Linked DNA regions of Saccharomyces cerevisiae S288C. The gene in region 4 interacts genetically with the main gene of each other region. Each region holds a gene or a part of one and is shown on either strand. Other genes may lie near its edges.

Evidence for each region.
Region 1: mutations in TGL2 (region 4) and CQD2 impair growth when combined (synthetic growth defect), as found in Saccharomyces cerevisiae (4 studies listed by BioGRID, with this or other methods).
Region 2: mutations in TGL2 (region 4) and PRP21 together harm fitness more than expected from each alone (negative genetic interaction), as found in Saccharomyces cerevisiae (2 studies listed by BioGRID).
Region 3: mutations in TGL2 (region 4) and CYB5 together harm fitness more than expected from each alone (negative genetic interaction), as found in Saccharomyces cerevisiae (2 studies listed by BioGRID).

Annotation. Positions count from the first base shown.
Region 1 is NC_001144.5:640,228-645,637, reverse strand, and holds CQD2 (Cqd2p), read right to left. Parts: upstream 3,012-5,410; coding exon 1,302-3,011; downstream 1-1,301. Other genes in the region: YLR255C (uncharacterized protein), read left to right, coding at 1-38; NDL1 (Ndl1p), read left to right, coding at 665-1,234; SYM1 (ethanol metabolism protein), read right to left, coding at 3,581-4,174; nucleobindin SSP120, read right to left, coding at 4,617-5,321. UniProt on the Saccharomyces cerevisiae protein: Component of MIOREX complexes, large expressome-like assemblies of ribosomes with factors involved in all the steps of post-transcriptional gene expression. Involved in mitochondrial lipid homeostasis.
Region 2 is NC_001142.9:51,112-55,467, reverse strand, and holds PRP21 (Prp21p), read right to left. Parts: upstream 2,128-4,356; coding exon 1,285-2,127; downstream 1-1,284. Other genes in the region: ECM25 (Ecm25p), read right to left, coding at 1-1,089; RCY1 (Rcy1p), read left to right, coding at 2,317-4,356. UniProt on the Saccharomyces cerevisiae protein: mRNA splicing factors, PRP9, PRP11, and PRP21, are necessary for binding of the U2 snRNP to the pre-mRNA in an early step of spliceosome assembly.
Region 3 is NC_001146.8:414,938-419,212, forward strand, and holds CYB5 (Cyb5p), read right to left. Parts: upstream 2,366-4,275; coding exon 2,003-2,365; downstream 1-2,002. Other genes in the region: DEAD-box ATP-dependent RNA helicase DBP2, read left to right, coding at 977-1,344; rRNA-binding ribosome biosynthesis protein NOP15, read right to left, coding at 2,889-3,551; YNL108C (uncharacterized protein), read right to left, coding at 4,077-4,275. UniProt on the Saccharomyces cerevisiae protein: Membrane bound hemoprotein which function as an electron carrier for several membrane bound oxygenases.
Region 4 is NC_001136.10:567,223-571,844, forward strand, and holds TGL2 (triglyceride lipase), read right to left. Parts: upstream 1,482-4,622; coding exon 501-1,481; downstream 1-500. Other genes in the region: YOS9 (Yos9p), read left to right, coding at 1-333; E2 ubiquitin-conjugating protein UBC5, read right to left, coding at 2,012-2,411, 2,502-2,548; RNA-binding ribosome biosynthesis protein MAK21, read left to right, coding at 3,427-4,622. UniProt on the Saccharomyces cerevisiae protein: Mitochondrial triacylglycerol (TAG) lipase with activity toward long-chain diacylglycerols (DAGs) and triacylglycerols (TAGs). Involved in mitochondrial lipid metabolism.

The DNA.
Region 1 (5,410 bases), on a different chromosome or scaffold from region 4:
TGGCTATAGAGATTGTTCTGTGCTTAAAGGCTCGCTAATCAATATTTCTTGAAGTACGATTTCTGTGTGTATAGATTCTCCACAATTGTTTTTCTTAGTGAGGCTCCGCCACGATCGCGTCTTGCCATCATCGTCCATCCATGGAAAAGAGCTACAAAAAACGACTGCTGGTGTACATACAATGCTCTGGGTTTCGTACATTTGCTTACTAAGTGACAGAAGCGTTCATCGATCCTTCGAAAAGGGTAACAGCGGAAAAACAGGAAATATTGGCTACATACTATAACTCAACAACGTATCATGAACTATTCCGCATATTCGTAACCTTATTTGTAGCGCAGTAAAGCCGCTAAAGAGGTCTTCTCCTATCGGATCTTGCTTTTTTCTTCCTTTTTTTTTTTTTTTTACAATAGAACAATAAAAAAACTGAACGTTCTCTATATCATCTGTGACGGCAAGTATCAATTATTTTATCAATTAGTTTGCAGAATCGGGAAAATTAATAACATTAGAAATGAAAGTTTTCATACATAAATTTGCAATTAAGGATGAAAAAGAGGGATAATAAGGGCTACAACAAACCACGAACGGCCGAAAGAACAATCCTCGCAAATTTAATTGGAATATCCAAGGGACATATACGTGCAACAATTGCGACTTTCCTATGGTGCCGAATTTGGATTTGGAAACAGCTATACAGATAATCTCCTCACTGGAGACCCAGTTGAGCGAGCTTGAAGGCGCCACGAAAGAATATGAAAATGATTTGGAACAAGTAATATCAAAGTTAAAAAGCGATCTTCTTGAGAGCCAACAACAAAATAAGTGCAATAAGAAACAGATAACAGATTTAGAGATACAGGTAGATGAGTTGGAAAATGAAAATATCCAACTGAGGAATAAGATAGAGACATTACAATTGGAGAGTGACCGACGACTGGAACGCAACGTTCTACTGGAACACGAGTTACTCGACACCAAAGAGGCGCTGCAAAAGTTAAGAGTCAGCAAAGAAGAAGCCACTAGCGGTGAGACTAGAAGGAACACCAGGTCGTTACCCAGTCAAAATAAAAAAATGAAGTTGTTTAAGGATACTATCAAAGTCTCGACCACATCTTCAACCTTGTACTTGCAGAACATGGCAAAAACTAACAACGCTGCAAGAAGTCACTGTAATATTCCAAATACCCAAATAACACAATCCACTGTGATAGCAACAACGTCTTCCGTTTAATGACACATATAAAATTGTTATATATAATTTTACGTATATATTTACAAGTAGAAAGAACGCTAACGATTTAAGATGACAACCAAGTCTTCGGAATAAATTTTTTCCACCACAACACAAAATCATAAAAATACAATTGATTAATACGCCTCTCATAGACTATCCAGTTTGTCAAGTTCTCCCACATCCATTTAATAGACCACCTCGCATACTCCGAATTAATTCTTTCCACTTTTTCGTCGTAGACCGTCTTGGCGCAGTATTGCGTCATGATCAGGAAAGTCCTCTCTGGCCCGAGTGGATTCTGTAGACATTCATCAAGATGTCTGGTTAGGTCGTTAGTCTTCAATATCAAAAGCACTACACGAGGGATTCTAGACAAAATGCTCATCAAGTCGCTCAGTAACGTTCCTTCCAAGATCCCATTTGCCATGACGTCCATTTCTTCTTGTGTTCGACTCGTTGAAATGTCGTAATTCAAAGCAGCATCAATGCTACGGCCCGTAATTGCAGCCGCTAAAAGGGGAAACTGTTCGTCGGTGATGTTTGCGAATCCTTTGGCATACTTCTTCATTTTTGTCTGGTCCTTGTCGAATAGGAGCGACAACCAAAATTTGGCATAAAGTCTTCTTGTTCTCGTGCTAGGATATCTATAGAGTCCGTGGTCAAATAAAACAATTTCAAAGTTATGGTATCCATTATCTTTAGCGGGCTTAACAGATCGTATGGCCAGATTTCCTCCATGAGGATCACAATGAATACCTACATTGGGAGTAAAAATCATGTTATTGAAAATATGAGAGAGACAACTCGAAACTTCACTGCGCGAGATACCGTGACTGTCAATGTACTCCAAATCATCCAACCTTTTGCCTCCAACATATTCCATAATCAAAATTCTTTTGTGGCTTTCAATGACCTTGGGTATTTTCAATGCTGTTTGCTTCTTGAACTTACTAAAATAATGACGGGTTTTTTCTGCATTTTCAGCTTCTTTGGTAAAATTCAGTTCCACGTAGATTGAAGACTGAAGCTCATCACCAAGCCACGTTAACGGATAATCAGGGAAGAAGACATCCAGCAGTTCAAACACTGTTCTTGTCAGCATAACATCTAATGGTATAAACTCCTTCAACGATGGATGCTGACATTTGACAGCTACACTAGAACCTTTACCGTCACTATTTTTTAGTTTTGCCACATGAACCTGTGCCAAGGAAGCTACACCTATCGGGGTTTTGTTGAATTCTAAAAACATATCCTCAATGCTGGTGCCTAGATCTTCTTTAAATAACTCATCAATTTCTTCGTAGGTGGATTCGGGACAGTGGTCTTGCAACGGTATCATTGTATCCGTCCATTCTTTAGGCAACAGGTAGGTCATGGCCCCAATGTGCTGGCCTAATTTGATATATATCCCACCATTCGATCGTAGCGCATGCAACGTGATTAAGGCACACATCTTATGACATTTATTTAAGGCAACTTCTCGTTCTTTTTTGTTCTCATAGCTTTTATTTAGAGCCCTCTTGTAATGGTAGAAGCAACGAGTGGTAGCTTGTGTGACGACAGCGATTCTTTTAGTCGTCAGTGCCGTGTGCTTTACAGAATCATGAAAAGTGTCATTAAAGTTGTACAAAACTACTGCTGATGCAATAGTCCCACCCACCAGAAGAGATTTTCTTGTCCTGGGGCTTCTTTGAGGGATGCTTTTACCTGTCCTAACGTACCGACGGAATACCTCAAACGGTAGTTTGTTAAAAAAAGCTTTGGTCATCATCTACTATCAACACCGAATAAGAAACATTCAACTATAATCTTGCTCCGTTTCAGGCTCAATAAACTTTCAGACTGATTCTTTCCAGTTACGAAGGTAGGAGTACAATATGCATACATAACGCAGCGATTTACAAGATATGTTCCTCGGGTCTATGTTTTGACCTCTTTTAACGGCATATGAAAAAACCTTTGAAAAAATGAAATATTATATAAAGGTCCAGAACCCACAGTGGTACTAAAAGGCCCACTTAAGTCTCACACCTAATTAAACACCTTTGCATAAACGGTAGCTGAAGAACAACAGGCATGACCGCAATAGTGAAATGTTAGCTACTATTTCCTCTATAAAAGAAGTACGAATGTAATTAAATAAATTGTTCCTGACCAAGCACATCTGTAAAGGAAAAGCAGATTGCTAGCCAACTTTGGTGACTCAAATATTTATGAAGTTGGTCTGCTCTCTGCCGAAAGTCTATTAGGTATATGCTGTTCCAGTACCCCAAGGAACAAGGTCTGATAAATATGCTAGTTGAATTCCAAATATTTTCAAAATCAGGATTTCTTATCCAGTTATTCGACCACGGGTGGATAATGAACAGGTACCTTGTCTTTCTCCATAACCTTTGAGTTTTTATAAGATAAGTAAGTGTTCCAAAATATTGCAACGACATTAACAGCTAGTAACCTATGTTGTAAAGGAACAACAGAAAAGTTAATCGCTTGGAAAAGTGGCCAAACTGCCCAATTAGTCAAAAGTGTAGGCCACCATTGCTCTTTTATTTTCAACTTAGCTACGTCAAATGATCTACCTTCCATGATGGACATACAGGTGAAATAAAATGGCAAACCTAGCGGCGCAAACGCCAATTGATCGACAGCTACCCGTAAAACCATATTAGACCAGTGGTACTGAGGTCTGTTACGCATATAAATCTTGTTGTTCAAGATCTTGTACCACTTGTCACCTATAAAGGAGAAAATTAAAGAACCATAGATGACAGCCCTAGCTGTCCTTTTATAATCATAACCCTTGTTTACTTTGGATGTTGGAAACAACAATTGAGCAGAAACATCACCAATTCCAAATAGCGCACCTGTCATTATCGCATTCGTAGTTTTGGGCCTTCTCTTCAAGCTCGCTTCATATAAATGCAATAACTTCATACTGTTTTAATATCAATTCTATCTTTCCTATAGTAATAACAAAAGACTGTGTTTGCCTTTTCCCTTTTGTAAGGCTAAATATGACAACATAGCATTCAAATAGCTCTTCTATCATATCACTATCATAGATATTTCCATTTTTTTTTTTTTTTCACTTTGTACTTATACTGTTAAAGTTCGACATTTAAGGGACAAGGAGGTGCCACTGTTTCCCGAAACGCTTCTTGTTACCATCGGAGAGAAAAGACCAATACATACGTAATTAGAACATAGAAAATAGAACGTTTAAAGTAGATAGTTAATCACAAAGGAGAGGCATCACAACGATGCGATGGTAAAAATATATTTTAAGTGCTTTGATTACTTACTACATGCTAATTGACTACATACATAGTGTCTTGAATATTTTCTCAGTCTCAACTATTCATCTTGACCAAGTCCATTAAAAAATTCCATTTTTGAATTTCTCGGGAATATTTTTCAGCTCTATTCTAGACTCTAGTTCGTCATCAGTTATTACAGTAGCTCTAGAAGCGCCTCTTTGAATTTCTTCTTCATGTTCAATTTCATGTTCATGATGAAGCAATTCATGTTCTATGTCTTCTTTGTGAACGACTTTAACGTCTGGATCTTTGTCCTTATGAAACTTATTCCAGTGATGAATTTCATATTCTAGCTCAAAATCGGAGTGGTGACCTACACCAACGCCAAGGTCAGGGAACTTGTTTCCTCTCTTAGCAAATTGTAGATATTCCTCCTTGGTGATTTTGGTATTATCATCAACATCCAATAACCTCATAATAAGGCTAACAACACGCTTAGCCATTTCATTGTCAATTTTCTCAGATTCATCGTGTTGTCCCATACCATCACCAGCCCCCACAATTTCTTCACGGTTCAACCCGTAGAGAGATAGAATATCGTTTTCATCTAAAAATCCTTTCTTCTTGATATCATGTAACGCGAAGAAAGTCTCTGGAGTGTAATCTTTTAGCTGATGCTCATGGTCCATATGCCACTCCTCCCAGGATAAACCATCAGGTGGTGCCTCATTTTCCACATTAATTTCAGATCCTATTTCTGCCGTGGCAGTTACTTTATATAGAGTGAAAGCCAAAGAAAATACAAATCCCCTCAAAAACCTCATTTCCACAATTTTAATAGAACAGGGATGAAAAAATTTTAGGTCTTGGCTCTTTTATCTTTTCTAGAAGGAATATAATATTACGCTCAATC
Region 2 (4,356 bases), on a different chromosome or scaffold from region 4:
TGATATTTCCTTCGCGATTTCGGGGAAAAAGTCCAGTAAATTTTTAATATATCTCGACCCAATAGCTAAACGATCATTAGTCATCATGGAAAGTTTTTCCTTACATAACGCCGGAGTTAAAGCTTTACTTAGGGTCCTTGAATCATGTTTAGTCGATTCACCATGCGCTATGATCCTATTAAAAAAAGGAATTATGACCATAAAGAGGTCCTGGTATTGGTTGAATTTAATAATTTTGCGGAATGTTTCACTTGTGAACTTTAGATCATCAACAATTGGTAACGGAATTAATTCAATTGGGATTAGAGGTTTGGCTTTATTCTTAATGAAGTAATTCAACCACACGGATGCCAAAGAATAAATATCCCATTGAGATAAATCAATGTAGTTGTTTCTTTTGATAATATCCAAAAAAATGTTTACCTTTTTATAGTTTCCCGGCTTCTGGAATATCAATTCACACAACAGAGCGTCATTCTGTAATTTCTTGAAAATTTTATCGAATACTAACTGCCTATACTGTCTTATTGCCAGAGGGGTCAATCTGTTATAATATTCCTCCGGGACATTTATATGTTCGCGTATCTGGTAATCATATAAGTACACGTTCAACGATATTCTAAGTCGCGTAATATCTATTAGCTCGGATAAAGAAGTCAGGTCCAAGACATGAACTAAACTTGGAAAATCATGCTGACTATCTTTTGAGTCCAAGAAGTTAAAGTTCATAGCGTTTGAAATTACTTGATAGACCGACCTAACGAAGAATGACTCATGAACAATAAAAATCTTTTGTAAATAGAACTTGGTCTCTTTGGGTAACTTTGCAAACATTTTAATACCGTAAACCCAGCTTATTTTTCTCTGGGAAAACCCAGATGAAAAAATCACCAGTGAATATGGTGCCTGTGGCAATTTCATTACCAATCGATCCATGAGGGCATTAATAAGCAAGTCATAAACTTGCTTATCGCCAATTTCATCAGATGCTGGCAAATAAGTCGAATCAAAGACATAAATTGCGTGACCAGAGTTAGGATCAACTGAATAAGATCTAAAAAATATGTTATTAACGTTGATATCTATCATCCTGGCCTTCTTTCACGCTACCAATAGTATTATCCAGTAGGGCCATATCCTCGAGAATTTCACTTTCTATATACAAAATAACATCAACATGAAAAAACGCCAAAATACGTACGCCGTTAATAGTGATACATGTGCTCAATTACGGTGCATCATCAACCTTTACATACTTCTAGCTAACTTTGATTTTCATGAGGCTTATTTTTTACTTTTCTTTAACCTTGTCTCTCCCACAGCTCTAATTTTACGCTTTTTGCCCTTACTATCTCCTCCTTTTTGCTTACCTTGGTCGGATACTATCTTTTCTTCTTCATTTGTCGGCTTGATACTATCGAATAACTTAATACCAGTTTGTACTCTTCGCAGCCTCATCTGTTCTAAATCTAGAGAGCCTTCGAAGATTTCTGTGTCTTCAGGGATAGAAAATTTTGCCACTTGAGTAAATTTATCCCATGGAATGGCTGCAAATTGTATTTTGCACAACTCTACGAGCTTATCATGTTCCCGGTCTTTATCTTTCTCAAATTCCCAATACTGTGTTCTCTCAAAACAATTATCTAAAATGGTTCTCTTACTTTTCTTGATTTCTTGACCAGTAAAAGAATATACTCGCTTGTACTGGGCGACAAAATCAGTGAATGTCTTATGTAGCGGATGTGAGCTGTTCATAAAGTTTAATCTGGCTTCACCATCCTTTGAAATCATCTGTTCAACAATACTTTTATCCTTTGCATAGTAGCGTGCTGTCAATTTGATTACTTCCATGTCTCTTCGGGATATTCCAGTATCATATTGAGAGAACAGAAAATCCGGCGGCCTTGCTATCTCTCGCTCACTCTTTCTGTCATTATCTTCACCGCTGACAGTGTCTGTTGGCTCATTCATGAGTTTGGTGTAGTATTCATGGAGTGGGTCATCTTTCTTGATGAATGAGAATCTCTCATCTTCTAGCAGTTTGTTCTCAAACTCAACACCATGCTGCTTTATGTAATTTACTGTGGTTTTAATGTCCTCTTTCAGCTGGGTATCTTCTGGTTCCATTTATACAACTGCAAATTATTGCTGTTAGTTTTACGCTTTACCTTATTTCTTCCTGTATTTAAGTGTTTCAAGGCTAACTTTTGCCGAAATATTTCGTTGAAGGAAGGTTCTTATTTTATCAAAAAATGGTCAACAGACAAACAATAGAAAAACCAAAAGAAAACAAAAGCTTTTGAGGAAATCGGTAAAATGGATGATCTGCTAAAAGTTCCCGAGATTGTAACCAATATTGCCTCATATTTATCTACTGTAGATTATCTGAGTTTTCAACAAGTGAATAAACGGGTTTATGCAATCATTAACGGCAAAAATGATTCAAAGTATTGGTCATTGAAATTGACTAGAATGGGTCTCCAACAGGTGCATTCAAATGAAGAAGAAGAAATTACGTTGCTGGATGAAAATGATAATCAAAATTCCCTTCGCATCTTCGAAATATACAAATCTTTCACTGCTCAAAATTCTAAAAAAATCTTTGTGAAATTTTACCGTTGTTATAACTCATACGCTAGGAAGCTATATAATAATAATCTAGCAAATTTCTTTCCTACTTCATATTCCAACGATCCGTTGAAACAAACAAGAATTCTAAATTTTATCAAAAAGTACAATTTCTCGAATAAAAATGATATAGAAACATTTACTAGGATTGAAACTAATTTCAACATTCTTAGGGAAATCTTCATTAATTCTGTTCTCAAAGAGTCAGAATTGAATTACCAGTCTAATAATTTAGCTGCCGTCGCTCGTTTCATGAAAATTTTATTGATATCTAATGAGGAAAGCAATGCTATCGAATTTTTCAAGTCAAAGGCTGATTTGCCTCCCAGTTTAACGGTTTTGCCGTCTAATGATGAATTATTTTGGGCCGAACAACCAAGGGAAGAGGACAGCGGTGGGAGTACCGTGATATTTAATTCTAAAAATTTAGATACGTTTCTCAATCAGCTAAGGGATTTCCTCAACGAAAAGATTAAATTAGCGGACATTTTATTCAAAGATGAGTTCCCTGTAATATTACAGTTCATCGAGTCCTTTATCCAAGATATTTTATTAGATATTTTAAACAATATCTTATTAAGCTATAGTGAATTTTTAAAAGAAAATGGAAAGGATAGTAAAGCCAATTATGAATGCGTACCCGAACTTTATTTCACATTTATAAAAAAGTTTGATACTGAATTAAACGACTCAGTAAACGCAGGCGCAAATTTCCGTAAAGTTGTTCGTGACCTTTTAAACCTGTATCTCGAGCCCTTTGTTGTCAACTATATGAATCAGACAACTAGAGTATTTGAATCATTGATCAACTCACAATTAGCTAATTATGACACACAAGTTCAAGACAAGCAGCGTGAGCAAAACGCAAAAATTTATAACACTTTAAAAGATCAAACGGATGCTTCGAGTGCAAGTAACAATGAATTGCCGAATGACCTCTCAATAATTACTGAAACCTCCAAAACTGTCCCAGAAGCGGATTCAAAACCAAGTACGATCCATCAATCAGTTCATTCAACTGATATTTCTAATGATAAACTAGACTTTCTAAGTTCCTTCACCAAGATTTTCAAGTTCTCGAACAATGAAAATCAAAGGCTAAAGCAACAACTACAACTAGCCTACAACTTAAATTTAATTTCCAATAACTTGCAAAACATTAAATCGTTAATAAGTCTCGATTTATGTTACAAAATTTTACAGGAAACAAGCGAAAAGACGGATCAAATTTACAAATTTCATACGATTGAAAGTTTGCTACCATTGATCAAGCTACGCTGTCAAGAGATTTTCAAAATTTTAATTACACAATTGAATAAAAATCACGTTAAACCTGCATTTGAAAAGGCAATCCTGCTACTACAAAAATATAATCCTAACGAAATAGAACAAATAGAAATAAAATTCAATTCACTTTCGCCAGCCAATACTCAAGTCGAACCTTTAGTACAATTCACTGAACTTATCAATATAGGTGACATAATATTACAAATGATTTCCATTTTTTACAAGAACGAATTGATTCCCAAAAAAATTATCGATAAAAATAAAGATTTTCTTAATGATGTTATCCAATTAAAAAAAAATTTTGAGACTTCTATCGATGATTTTGTAGCCGAAGGTTTAAATATCGGTATAAACAAACTAATGGATGAAATCTCATTTGTATTCAAGACTCTTCAATTGCCTGACGATTATAATCCACCGCCACCCTCTAGGAATTCTCCA
Region 3 (4,275 bases), on a different chromosome or scaffold from region 4:
TATTGATTTTATTTTTTTTTGTTACCCCTAACGATATTACAGCTATTTCCTAATGGCTTTTAATGACATTAATGACTTTATGACAACCATGATAGTACAGAAGAGAGACCTTTTTTCTTTTTTTTTTTTTTTTCTTTTTTTTTTTTTTTTCTTTTTTTCTTTTTTTTTTTTTTGAGCCTTTTCGAATCTAGACTCTATGTGAGTCTATTCTCGATGGGGAGTATCGGAAATTGAATTTTAATTCGAATGACTTCTAATGCATCACTACAGAAAACTAATATTGGGAGGATGAGAAAAATTGACTTTAATTAGTCGTTTTGAGAGACGGGAAATTATAAACTCGGAGAAGTGTATTTGTGTTCATGATTTGCACTTCATGTCAAAAGAAATTTCGCTTTTTGACATCGGCGCAAATAAACAAGGAATTGGCTTTTCAGCTTATTTCTAGAACGCATACATACGCTTCGTTGATCGTTGTTTTTTTCAATGCTTGGCATTTGTACAAGGGTAGATTGTTTTATTGGAAAAATAATAGTATATTCTACTTTGAAATGCCGTCATCCTTCTTGACTATTGTTATTCTCATTTTGTGTAGTTTATGCATTTTGTAGTTATATTGAGATACTGTTGCATCCCAAGTTCGAATTATTAAGAAGTGCTGATAAAAATGGAAAATAACAAAATAAAAGGATTTCAACCATATTCAGAAATCATTTACTTTGTTTTCCTTTTTTTAAGTGCTAGCTTTCATTCAGTTTGAATAAGGATTCTGGAGTATTGATGATTAAATATTTCGAATTCTTTAATAAAAATATAATTTCTGATAATCTTCAAGCCAGGGGGAAATTTGAGACAATGTTGGGAGTCCAAACATGAATTTGTGGGGGGCATGAAAATAAAGTTCATATACAGAATAACGAACCAAATTACTAACAGTATGCTTTGTAAACGTTTGTTTACTTCTTTATTTTTTCAGATGTCAAAGGTATCAATTACGTTATCAACTACGATATGCCAGGTAACATTGAAGATTATGTTCACAGAATCGGTAGAACTGGTAGAGCAGGTGCTACTGGTACTGCTATATCTTTCTTCACCGAACAAAACAAAGGTTTAGGTGCTAAATTAATCTCTATCATGAGAGAAGCTAATCAAAATATTCCTCCCGAATTATTGAAATACGACAGGAGATCTTATGGTGGCGGTCACCCAAGATACGGTGGTGGTCGTGGTGGTCGTGGTGGCTATGGCCGTAGAGGTGGTTACGGTGGTGGCCGTGGTGGTTACGGCGGTAACAGGCAGAGAGATGGTGGCTGGGGTAACAGAGGTCGTTCAAACTATTGAAGTCAAAGTGATTCAATTCATTCATCTCTATTAATAATAATTATATAAGTTGACTGCACCTTATTTCTTCAATGCATGATAAAATTTTATTTGCTGTATACTACATTTTTAATATTTTAAAGCTCTTCGTCACACTTTTTCTTTAATACTCCTAAGTTTTTGGGTGAACGGTGGCAACTGGATTGAAGTTATTTCGCATAACGCTTAGTGTGCCGTAAAATAATAGGACAGACACTTTTCTTTGTTCTCGTACAACCCTGGGGCCGATGTTAAACGAATGATTTTCAAAAAAACAGTAGACTTACAAAGAAGTCGTGCACTAGCGCTTATGGGTCATTTTAGAATGAGCGAAATGCACGACAACCAGGTTGATCGTATTGAAGTAAGAGCAGAGCTTTATTTGCCTTTTTTTTTTTTATCTAAGACGATGATTTTTAGCCATACACAAAGATAAGTATATACATATTAATTTATAATAATTCTATCTGCCAGGCAGATTCTATGATACAGTGACATACTTCTATGCGATATAGTAGCATAAGTTAATGTTGTAAGACATTAATTTGGCCTTGATTGCTTGTAAATAAATAATTTAATAAACTGAAACGAAAAATTCAATTGAGTTTGGAGAAGAGTGTGGGCTATTCTGGAAGAAAAATTATTCGTTCAACAAATAATAAGCAACACCTAGCATTAAAATGGCCAATATGACAACCAATGTACCACTACCTTTACTTTGGTTTTCAGAGGTAGATACCTTTTCCACAGAAACGCGCTCACTGGTCTTGTCAACGTCACCAATGTATAAACCTTTCAGTAGTCTCAATGCTTCGTCAGAATGACCGATATCGACAAAGCTTTCTGTAGCATCTTGTCCACCCAAATCCATTATAATTTCATCACCACCTGGATGTTCATCTTTGAATTGAGAAACATCGTAAACTTTGTCATCGATGATAATCCAGAAATTTTCTGGGCCATTGTGTTCGGCAACTTCTTGGTAACTGTAAACTTTAGGCATGATTGTTTGATATTTTATGTTGTAGTTGATTGATTTTCTTTACTATGAAGAAAATGAAAATCGAATTTAAATATTAACGAGGAAGCCTGAACGAAAATTTTTGAGAAAGTTTCAAAAGCTTCTTGTTCTTTATATAGTTATTGGAAAAAGGACAATATATATATTTGTTATTTATTGATATAATAACAATGCTTCTCAAATATCGCTTTTTGGCCACGAATGCGACAAAAATTTTCTCGTTATGCTAACCTCTCTCACTATCTCGATCTCGTATAGCTTTCTTTTTTGCAGCTATTGTTCTTTTTCTGGGCCGTTAAATTTTTCATCCGGAAACTCCAGGCTATTACCCGCTCCGTGATTTTGGTCGTTGAATCTTCGTAAAAGCAATCATGTAAATATCATTGAATACGGACAAACGGAACTATATTGCTGGAATTAATGATATAAATGGTTTCCCAAGTTTGCTATATCTCCTATTCTATCTTACAAAACCCTTTTCTCAGGGTGGATGAGAAGTGACAAGTCACCATTTGAATTCGATACCTGACTTGGCTAATTTTTTTATCCTTTCTTCATGTTTTTGCTTCATGTTATCCTTTAGCTGTTTTACTGGTTTGGTGATACCTTTCTCTACTAGAACTCTCTTCTTGTATTTGTACAATTTCTCGATTTTAGCTCCTTTTGGTAATACACGCACTTGTAGTAGATGACCCATCAACAAGTAATTGTTCATAGATTCTTGGGCGATCATTGCATCCTCTTTATTAACGAATTCTAAGAAGCCATAATGTCTGGAATTTCCAGTTTTCTTATTACGTGCTAATCTCACTTCTTTTAAATCACCGAATTGAGCAAAATATTTACTTAATTCCTTTTCGTGGAACCCATGTGGCAGTCTACTCACATAAATAATCCCAGAATACTCTTCAAGTGTCTTTTTATCTTTCGACTTTTTTTCATTAGCCTGCTTCTTAGGATTCAATCTTTTAATCTTGTGTGTACCGCTCTGCTCATCATCAGAAGCGGCTAAACCTTCAATTTCATCTTCATCTTTTTCGTCTTCTTCATCTGAACTGCTAGACGATGTTTCTAGAGCCAACTCTTCTTTCTCCTGTATAGGTTTTTCTTCGGTGGGTTGTTTGGTTACTGTTTCCTTGGTGGAAGTTTTGCTTGTTGACTTTACCATATCGATCTCTTTCCTCTGTTATTTTATCTCTAGAACTTAACCCTATAGAAAAGGTAGTTAATGAAGTTAAAAGTAATGGTAATCGTCTTCAAATTAAGTGATGAGATGAGATGCGATGCACTACTTCATTTTTTCTTATGGCGGAAAATTTTTCATAGTGAAAAGAAACAGGCAAAATCTGGGGGGTAACCGCATACGTCTCTGCTATGCCGTCTGTAATGAGGATGCTAAAGTTGCAATAGCTGCTATGCACATTAGAAAGGGTTTAGCAGGATAATGAGTTTTCAGAGATAGCACAAAACTCGAAAGGTTTCGGTACTACTACCTAGACAGCTCATCTTTCAATCGTTGAACCTTGAATTTTGAAGTTTAGGGATATTAAAAGATACTGTTAATTCTATCAATTTACACTAGACTTTGACATATGTATATATATATATATATTCACACAGCTTCATCATGAAATAAAAATCAAATGCAGAAGTGTATAATGAGAAGTACAGAATTCAAGACTCACTTTAGTTTTCACTCCATTTTTAGTTTTCCGCTCTCAGCTGCTCTTCTCGCTTTGATATCAGCGTCTGAACCAGCCTCAAAGGCATTCATAAACGTCCAATTCATTTCTTCCCCATTAGTTAAAAAGGAGGTGTTGCCATTCATTGTAAGTTTCCACTCTCTCTCTTCAAATGGTATACTTTCATTTTCTCCTTTCACCAGCTCAAAT
Region 4 (4,622 bases):
AATGAGCTATTCTTGAGGATTTCTAAGGAGATAGCAGAAGTGAAAGAATTATTAAACGAAATCGTAAGTCCACATGAAATGGAAGTAATATTTGAAAACATGAGAAATCAACCGAATAATGATTTTGAACTGGCGTTGATGAACAAGTTGAAATCCTCATTAAATGATGATAACAAAGTTGAGCAGATAAACAACGCAAGGATGGATGATGATGAAAGCACTAGTCATACAACCAGAGACATCGGGGAAGCTGGATCACAAACGACAGGGAATACTGAATCGGAGGTAACAAACGTAGCAGCTGGTGTTTTCATCGAACATGATGAGCTTTAAACAAGGAGGAGTATAAACTTTTAATTTTTTTTTTTCACGTTTTGCCTTTTATATACCGATTAAATATTTATATTTCTGACTTTTTCTTTACCGACACCAACAGGTGTAGGCTCAAAACATAAAAAAAAAGAGTATTCTATAAACAGTTCTTACGAATAGAACAACTCTTAAAATCCTTTTCTTGCCAAGTCATCGGTTATCTTCAAGTAAAAATTCAGGATGTCAACCTTCTCTCCGACAGTAGTGGTACGAAAAAATTTACTCCAATCATCCTGTAACTTATTTTTCCAATTGATGACGTCCAGATGATCCATGTCCTTCAAAGTCCCCCTGTATTCACCCCATTTACTACTATTTATGGTTACAAGGCCATCGTTGGGGCAACCTTTAGACCTTTCATAAACAATTTTCCAGGGAGTACAAAAGACATTGTACCACTTAGGCACAAAGGAGCATCCATACGAAAAATAAGAGACTTTTGGACTATTTGGCGTAACCAAATTGAAATATTTCATATACGCAGTCGTGAGTTGGTAGAAACATATTGGCAATATCTTTTGGCTAACTCTCAAGGCATTTAGATTTTCAAAAAGGTCGACTACGTAATCGGCCATTTCTGACCCTCTATGTGGAGTTGAAATAGTGGTTAGGCTCAATATATCGTAATTCCTATTTTTTATATTGCAAATTAGATATCGGCAGTCTAGTCCCCCCATTGAGTGTGCGATTAGATTTAACGAATGTCGCTTATCCTTCGACTCGATTTTCTTTACTTCTTTCTGTAACTGAGCATCCAAAGCCATTGCTCTTTCCTCGATGCTACCAAAACCTGGTACCTTAGTGGTGATAACAGTACATCCCTTAGATTGAAGAAATTTTTTAACGCCAATCCAATATTCAATCTCCAACAAATTTGTGTACTTGTTATCACTCTTATCTTCGTCATCCTGCATGAAATTTTCTGCCATATTATGTACTATTGAATTGGAAATTAGGTTTGTCAGATGGAATACAGAAGGGATTAGAATTAATTTGTCAAATCCTGATAAACCATGGCAAAATACAATAGGATTTTTTGGGGGCTTGTACGAATCAGGAACTTTGACGGAGTCTATTATTATATCATTAGCTTTATTATCATTTTTCATTTTTTTTATGCTTTTCCTCCTTTAAAACAAGACGCTTTATTCTCTATATTCTTCCTTGTACATATTTTCAATAGCGGTTCATATTAGGCTCATTATGAGAAAAGGTTGGTGAGAAATTTAGCATATTTTAAACAATCATTTAGCTAGATGAATCAGAATGTTTTTCCGACAAATAGTAGCTCGCGTGGCGTAATGGCAACGCGTCTGACTTCTAATCAGAAGATTATGGGTTCGACCCCCATCGTGAGTGCTTTGTTTCTTCCGTGATAGTTTAATGGTCAGAATGGGCGCTTGTCGCGTGCCAGATCGGGGTTCAATTCCCCGTCGCGGAGAATTTTTTTTAATTGATAGTAGCAGGTACAGGAGAAAGAGTAAATAATAGAAAGCAAGGTACGTGATGGGAATTGATCAAACTAATATCGCTATACCTATAAGAATTTGCGTGTTTGTATACGTAAAGAATATATAATATATTGATGTGTGCGCTGAGGAAGGTAAGTCTACACAATTTATCCGTTAGCCCAAATTAATCAAACAGCATATTTTTTAGTCCACTCCTTAGCGGTGGCTTCATACTTAGCCTTATCTGTCTTGTAGATTTGAGCAATTTCAGGGACCAAAGGATCGTCGGGATTAGCATCTGTTAAAAGAGAGCAAATAGACAACAAAACTTTTGAAAGGGTTAGCGCCGGTGACCACTGGTCCTTTAAAATATCAAGGCAGATATTACCACTCGAATTAATATTCGGATGATAAATTTTGGTCGTAAAGTTTACCTTCGGTGGCTTGAATGGATAATCAGTTGGAAAGTGAATAGACAAAAAGAAAACGCCACCAGCGTAGGGTGAGTCTGAAGGACCCATAATAGAGGCTTGCCAATGATACAGGTCATCCCCTACAGGTCCTGCTGAACATGAAGCAGGAGGATCTCTTCGGAAAAAAGTTCAAAAAAGAAACTCATGTTAGTAATCCTTTTTCTTTACAGATCAAGAAAAATCATTCATTTTATTTTTAACATACCTCCCTAAATCACTTAATTCCTTGGCAATACGCTTGGAGGAAGACATTTTTAGTTTAGTTGAGGGTGGTGAGCAGAAAATGACTTTTCAAGATGGTAGTCAATAAGCAGTCCTGACCTTGGAAAATAAAACTCCAACCATCTATTAAAATCCGGGATACAATTATTTTTTATAATTTTGGGTCGGCTATCTTTGGTACAAATGAGTAAGGCGGCAGCCGCTTTATTACCCGCTCGCAGTGGCAACTACCTCCACCACAGCCATGCTTCAAAAGCGCTTGCTACGAGAGTTTACACCGTACTAGCACTAGCAATACATCTAGATATCTAATTGAATTACGCACAATATAAGAAAAATCGGTTTATGAGCCTAATGAATGAGTACCAAAATAAGTAGGCAAAAAGTACAGCCTCTCATGGAACAATGAACACAACCCTAGTATAATTCATCTGTACTTTGGGACTTTCTGTGTAAGTAAACCAAGACATAATTTAATATATTTGAGAAATCTATCCTTATCCAATTGGTTGTTGCAGATGATTTCATATAAGCAAAAATGTTGGTATAACTTTCACCACATGCAATAGCAGATCTTTTGTATAACGCGTATTGCCCAACATAATCTAAGATCAGATCATTAATAAGAAAATCTCATTTCCAAAACCGATTGGACATATACTGTTTAGTAATAACCGCCGATATGATGTTCTTCCGTTCTCTTGCCTCTGTATTCCGTTACCCGTTGCAGAATGAAAAATTTTTTCTTTTGGCGATGAGGTAAAAAATTATCAGAGATGCCAAAGTAATGGAGTTGCGAATAAGAAAGCATTATGTCGTACACATCGGAAGCGAAATTCTATAGTTTGATAAATTTCTATAGATATTAAACCTCTCCAGTGTCTTTGTTGGTACAGTAATCAAAAATAATGAGTGAGAACAACGGCAATCCGCTGGATTTGTCTTCACTAAGAAATAAGATTTCGTCAAAATTGCGAGACAATAACAGCAAAAAGGCGAAGAAAACCCACAAAGGCAAGGACGTGAAGGCCAGTAGTAATTCAAAGAAGGTAAATGAGGACATACGTCGTGAAGCACTAGCATTGGGTGCCAGCGAAGAAGATCTAAAATTGATTCAAGGATTAAGCGATGATGATGACGCTAAGAGCGAACAGGAATTTGATGCCGTCGCTGACGAGGATGCTGACGACAAGGGATTCAAGAACGATCTTCAAAATTTCATGAAGAATGTAGGATTTGACCAACACAAACTCGAAGATGTAGACGATGACGATATAGAAGAAGAATCCACTAGCTCCAAAGAATCTAAAATACCCGCTCAAGAGAAGGAACATGCACAATCAAACATTGCATCATCGACAATAGAGAAAACCTCCCAAGAGTCAATCGATAATGGCAGTGAACAAGAAGAAAACACAGTAGAAGAGGCTAATCTTAGTTCAGACCAAGAGCCAGAATCAGAATCTGCAGAGAAAGAAAAGAAAGAGGAGAAAGATGGAGGTTTAATTACTCAAACTACTATTATCTCATCTGACAAACTTATTATTCCTTACGATAAACCATGGTATGAAATTCCATTGGATCCTCAAGTTGGACAAAATGATGATGTTGAAGAATTATCCAAGGAACAGATTGAGAAACTTTTTGAAAGAGGTAAGCAAACGCTAGAAGCTGACAACCAAACTTACTATGAGGAGTTTACAAAGGACTCATCGCAGGCCAAGTTCATGTCCCAAATCCTATCGGACGGTACCCTCAACGATAAAATATCTGCCGTAACTTTACTCATTCAAGATTCGCCATTGCATAACACTAAGTCTTTAGAAACTCTGGTTTCATATTGTGGCAAAAAATCGAGAAACTCTGCTTTACAGAGTTTAAACGCTTTGAAGGATTTATTCTTAAATGGTCTTTTGCCCAACAGAAAGCTGAGGTATTTCAAAAATCAACCTGGCTTATCTATGATGCTAAACAAGAAAACTCTTGCAATTTTCTATTTCGAAGATTATTTAAAGAAACTGTTCTTTCGTGTTTTAGAAGTCTTGGAAGTGCTTTCCCACGATCCAATTATTCACGTTAGATTACAAATATTAAATCATGTATT